2 separate regions of the Mus musculus genome follow, and region 2 is reported to be linked to region 1. The links are microRNA targets in miRTarBase. Many come from high-throughput screens and were not tested one by one. Region 1 holds a microRNA gene; the other region holds the end of a gene's coding sequence.
Evidence for each region. The annotated mature microRNA mmu-miR-669g reads UGCAUUGUAUGUGUUGACAUGAU and lies in region 1 at 793-815, opposite strand. An mRNA with a match to its seed (bases 2 to 7 or 8) in the 3' UTR can be bound and repressed. Matches are read on the target gene's strand: a 7mer-m8 pairs with bases 2 to 8, a 7mer-A1 pairs with bases 2 to 7 and ends in A, and an 8mer does both.

Region 1 (3,061 bases):
CATATACAAAAGTGAATATGTACACAACTATACACACATGCACATTCTTGGTGGACATCACATGAATCGCATGCTGAACTCTAACTCATCATGAAGTTAAACATGATTTTGAACTCCTCATCCTCCTGACACTGGCAAGAGTGCTCACCTCCTAACTGAGACATAGCTCTGGCCATTCCTATGAATGTGTGTGCATGTGTGTATATGCATATTCATATAGAGAAGTGAATATGCACACAACTATACACACATGCACATTTTTGGTGGGCATAAGATGAATCCCATGCTGGTCATGAACTCATCATGAAATTCAGCACGAATTTGAACTCCTGATCCAACTGACTCTGTCAAGGGATTTCACCTGCTGAGTGAGACCTCTCCCCATTCAGTACTGAGGAATCTTAAAACTCTAAGTCACACGTCATTCAAATGGATCGATGAGTTGCACTGATGTTTGTGTGTGTGTTTCTGTTTGTGTCTGTGTACATGTATATATTTGTGTAGATAGGTACATCCATATACTCAAATCCACACACAATAGAAACAGATACAGATAGGGATACATAGGGGGCATCACATGAATCCCAGGCATATCTCTAAGTCATCATGTAGTAAAGCATGCATTTGAACTCCTGATCCACAATCTTTCACACCTGGTGAGTAAAACCATTCACTGTCCCACTACTGCATAATCTTGAAAACTTTAAGTCACATATCATTCAAACGTATAAATGAATGCAATTTTTCCTGTGTGTGTGTGCTTGCAGATACACGTGTGTTTATGTTATGTATATCATGTCAACACATACAATGCACATACAAGTAAGCACACATGCACATAAATGGGTTGCATGACATTAATACCAAGATGTCTCCAAATGAAGTTAAGCATGAATTTGCAATCCTTATCCTCCTGACTTTGTCAATCTTTTACACCTGGTGAGTGAGGCCATTCAATGCCCCCTATTGCATAATCTCTAAAACTCTACATCACTTATCATTCAAAGGGATTGGCGAATGCCATTCCTGTGTCTGTGTATGTGTGCTTGCGTTTATACGTGTGTGTGTATGTTATGTATATTCAAATATAGACATGAACATGCACACACAACTATACACACATGCACATACATGGAGGAATCACAAGCTGATCTCTCATGAGGATAAGTATGAATTTGAACTCCTGATACTCTTAACTCTAGCAAGCATTTTCACTCTAAGTCACTTATCACTCAAATGGATTGATGAGTGCCATTCCCATGTGTCTGTGTGCTCATATGTGTCTTATGTGTGCGTGTATGTATATGTATATCATATTCACATATGTACATGTACACACACATCAACACATACACACATACATAGGGGCAATCACATGAATGCCAGGATGACCTCTAACTCATCATGCCTTTACCACGAACTTGCACTCCTGATCTTCCCGACTCTACCAAGGGTTTCCTGTGGTTTGTGAGACCTCACCCTGGCCCAGTCATACATAACCTCCAAAGCAGTAGGTCACATATCATTCAAATGGACCGTGAGGGCTATTCCCGCATGTCTGTGTGCATGTGTGTGTAGGTGTGTGTATGTATATGCATAAAATATACACGCATATACATGCAGGCACTTACGCACACAGGCACGTACATAGGGGCCATCACATTATTCCAGGATGATCTCTAACTGCTCATGAAGTTAAGCATGAAATTGAACTCCTGATCCTCCTGACACTGACAATTGTTTACACCTGGTGAGTGAGAATATTCACTGTCCCTCTACTTTATAATCAGCAAAATTTTAAGACATATATCATTCAAATGGATCAATGAGTGTCATTCTTATGTGTGTGAGTGTGCATGCCTGTGTGTGTGAATACATTTGTATGTGTGTGTATTTATATGTATGATCATATATACACATGTACGTGCACACACAATATATGGGCATGTACATACCTAGGGTCCATCCCACAAATCCAGGGTGATCTCTAATTCATCATGAAGTTAAGCATGAATTTGAACTCCTGAGACTCCTAACTCTGGCAAGCAGTTTTCATCTGATAAATGAGATGTTTCCCTATACCATGAATATACACTCAATGAAACTCTAAGCACGTATAAATCAAATGGATGACTGCCATGTGTGTTTGTGTGCACATGTATGTGTCCCTAGGTGTGTTTATATATATGCATGTTCATATACCCGCATGTACAGGCACACTTCCCTTTACACATAAACGCATACACAGGGAAAATAACATGAATTCCGGGCTGATCTCTAACTCACCAAAAAGTTAAACATGAATTTGAACTGCTCATCCTCATGATGCTGGCAAGAGTATTCACCTCCTAACTGAGTCATAGCTCGGATCATTCGTGGGAGTATGTTTGCATGTGAGTATATGCATATTTATGTACAGAAGTAAATATGTACACAACTATACACACATGCAAAATCTTGGTGGGTATCACATGAATCGCATGCTGAACTCTAACACATCAAGAAGTTAAACATGAATTTGAACTCCTCATCTTCCTAGCTCTGGCAAGAGTGCTCACCTCCTAACTGAGATATAGCTCTGGCCATTCCTATGAATGTGTTTGCATGCGTGTATATGCATATTCATATAGAGAAGTGAATATGCACACAACTATACACACATGCACATTTTTGGTGGGCATAAGATGAATCCCATGCTGGTCATGAACTCATCATGAAATTCAGCACAAATTTGAACTCCTGATCCAACTGACTCTGTCAAGGGATTTCTCCTGCTGAGTGAGACCTCTCCCCATTCAGTACTGAGGAATCTTAAAACTCTAAGTCACACGTCATTCAAATGGATCGATGAGTTGCACTGATGTTTGTGTGTGTGTTTCTGTTTGTGTCTGTGTACATGTATATATTTGTGTAGATAGGTACAGCCATATACTCAAATCCACACACAATAGAAACAGATACAGATAGGGATACATAGGGGGCATCACATGAATCCCAGGCATATCTCTAAGTCATCATGAAGTAAAGCATGAATTTGAACTCCTGATCCACAGTCTTTCAC
Region 2 (3,000 bases), not on the chromosome of region 1:
CAATGAAATTCTCTGGGGTCACCGCTATGAGCCAGTGCTCTTTGAAGAGAAACACTACTATAAAGTAGACTATTCAAGATTCCATAAGACTTATGAAGTACCTAACACCCCCCTTTGTAGTGCCAGAGACTTAGCAGAGAAGAAATACATCCTTTCAAATGCAAATTCATTTTGCTATGAAAATGAAGTTGCCCTAACAAGCAAAGAGGAAGAGGAGGATAGTGAGAACGGAGTCCCAGAGAGCACAAGCACAGACTCACCTCCTGGCATAGATCTCCACAACCAGGCAAGCGTACCTCTAGAGCCCAGGCCCTTAAGGCGAGAATCGGAGATATGACTGGCTGATTCCGTCTTTGGAATACTTACTTTGCTACACAGCCTGACGTTGGTCAGAGGTCCGAGACAGTTATACAGACCATGGTACTGGTCGAGAGGTGGGTGAAAGCAAGCAGCCACAAGAGACTAAGGCTAGCACAAAGGTTTCAAGGAAAGACTAAGCTGGATGACTGATGTAAAGTGCTTTGCAGGCCTCCAAGAGACATGATGGCACATATCTGTTGTAGTATAAGTTATGGGGTTTTTAATGTATTGTTTTGTGTTTTTACAAAACTTGAATATGCAGGCAAGCCTCAGTTTGGGTACATGACTTACCTGGAATGCTTCTCTTTAGGGGAACAAGAGTGATTTTAATGGCATAACACAGGCAAGACTCTGCCTTAATTTTTTGAAAAGCTGCTAACTACATGAACACGAACTGTATTTTTGTTGCAGTGTAGTTTATCTTTTACATAACGTTAAGACGTCAGTGTTGAGCATTGTTGAAAGCGCACAGTGTGCTTTAAAGCATCAAGTATTTGGCTATTAACTGCCAAAAATGAAAGCCTGATTTTCTGAGGCCAGTAATTTGTTTGCTAAAAATTGATCTCTCTGTCTACCTGTCAGTCTCTGTCTCTGTCTCTCTCTCGTTATCTCTCTCTCTCTCTCTCTCTCTCTCTCTCTCATTACATAATAGCATTATATAACACTAGCCAAATGGTAGCCTCTGGGTTTTATACTTTTCTTTTCCACAATGCTAATAGGTTATCTCAAACTTTCAGTTAGACGACCTTAAATGAATACCAAAGATAATGCACATTGTTTTGTTTTTGTTTTTGTTTTTTTCTTTTTCTTTTTTTTTCTTTCCTTTTTTTTTTCTTTTTTTGCACATGGAGGTTATATTTTTTTAAAAAGAAACAAAGCTCCTGCACAGATTGTCTTGGAAATCCAGAGACACCATCTTTGAACTTCAGCAGGGTGTGAAGCAGTCCGTTCATTTTTGCACTATAGTCTGAAAAGAACACCAAAGTCTGATCAATGTAGTGTGTTTTCGAGTCTGTTCTTTTGTGCTTCTTTCTTATTTGGAGGGGAGGAGGGAAGCATAGGTCACAGTTACATATGCACTATAATCAATATTTTTTCTTTCCCTTTTTCTGAGCTTTTCTCTCTTAGCACATTCCAAAGTTGGTTCCATAAGATCAGATCTTGGTTGAACTTTGTTGGTAACCTGGCACCTTCCAAACTGTCACCCAGCAGGGAAGATGAACAGATTTCAAATTTTGCAGCTGACTCATAGCCTTGACTGCCAGGGCATTTCTAGCTCAGTGTCACATTAAGAAAGATGTCTGGCCTCTAGTCTTGTCCTTCTAAGGTCTCTGCAGAGATAGAGAGAGAGAGAGAGAGAGAGAGAGAGAGAGAGAGAGAGAGAGAGAGAGAGACTTTCAATGCAGCAATCCACTTTACAGGTGAGAGGGAAGTTTCCTTTTTCATGACAGAGGGTAAGAGGGACTGTTTCAGTATTTTAGGTCTTAGTGAGCCATATAAACACAACATAATTACAAGCTAAGGAGTTAAGAGTCTAAAGGGTTATTTCTCTCTCTGTAAACATTCATGATTAATGCCAGTGGGTCATTGTCTCTTGGAAAGTCTCAGAGCACGTTGCCAAGGACTCATTATTTTCTAGAAGCCTCTTTTACCTATTCACCTTCCTTTATAAAAACCTCCCTCCCTTTCCCAAACACTAGCTCAATCATTCAATTCTCCCTCCCTTTGTTTCTCTTGGTTTTAATGTTCTCTACTTGTAAACCCTGGGGCTGCTGAGTTCCTTTTTAGTTGGCGTCTCAAAATCAAGCCTCTAATGGTATTACACCCTAATATGCCATTAAAAATCAGCTTGTTCTAGAACCATGTATTTTATTTAGGTTGATGTTTGTGCCGGTCTGTGGCTTGTGAGCCTCTGTATCTGGATACAGTGCCTGTAAGAAACGTTGACAATTTCTGCTGTTTTCAACTTTCTAAGTCAATGGATTTGAAAACTGTTGGTGTTATGGAAATCAAGAGAGAAGCGTCGAGAAAGTGTACATCTGGGTTTTAAGGCAGGGTTGCAAGTTGCTTAAAGAGTTTGCTGGGTTGGGGACAGGGAGAAGTCACAGGAGAGAACACAGACTGGCTTCTGACAGTGTGAGGCTATGGAAGGCTTCAGATGCTGCTATTAAGGTGATTTGCAAAGTAAAGTAATCAAACCAAAGAGTATTCAGTGGAATGTCAATCAAATGAAGATGCAGTAAAGAGTGGGGGTGACAACATGGACTGACCCCAAACACAAAAAGACTTGAGTTATTTGAAAAGAGGGAGGGGGTGGGTACAGAGACAAGAAAAGTGGGAGGGGAAATCTTTCAATTTTTTTTATCTTTATTTGCTTAAAAAGAAGAAACCATCTAAAATTTCTGGTGCATAGATTTGTTTTTCGTTTGTTTGTTTGTTCGTTTTTTTTCTTTTTGTTTTTCAAGGAAAATTTTGCAGAAGCGACATTTTTAAAGTGTACATTTTATAAAGTTTATCAGATATTTTCATATTTAAAGCCAAATGTAAATAGAAATCTGTAAAGGAAAAAAAAATACCCTAAGAGGTATAACTACCGCAGTGAGTTCTGAGAGCTAGCACCTATATGCTACCGGTTAGCAT

Region 2: the mRNA of Kcnj2 is a reported target of mmu-miR-669g. Seed matches in the 3' UTR shown: 7mer-m8 at 1,067-1,073 and 7mer-A1 at 1,759-1,765.

The regions. Positions count from the first base shown.
Region 1 is chr2:10,474,924-10,477,984 of GRCm38, reverse strand. It overlaps Mir669g (microRNA 669g), which reads right to left and starts at 835; the gene lies at 713-835. All of the region lies in intron 10 of Sfmbt2 (Scm-like with four mbt domains 2), which reads right to left. It overlaps Mir669k (microRNA 669k), which reads right to left and starts at 2,685; the gene lies at 2,559-2,685. It overlaps Mir467a-1 (microRNA 467a-1), which reads right to left and starts at 1,639; the gene lies at 1,567-1,639. It also overlaps Mir466b-8, Mir669a-1 and Mir669j.
Region 2 is chr11:111,072,734-111,075,733 of GRCm38, forward strand. Kcnj2 (potassium inwardly-rectifying channel, subfamily J, member 2) reads left to right here. Exons shown (of 2, transcript NM_008425.4): 2 at 1-3,000. The coding sequence ends at 337. Among named protein-coding and RNA genes, the nearest start is that of Kcnj2, 8.1 kb to the left of the region's middle.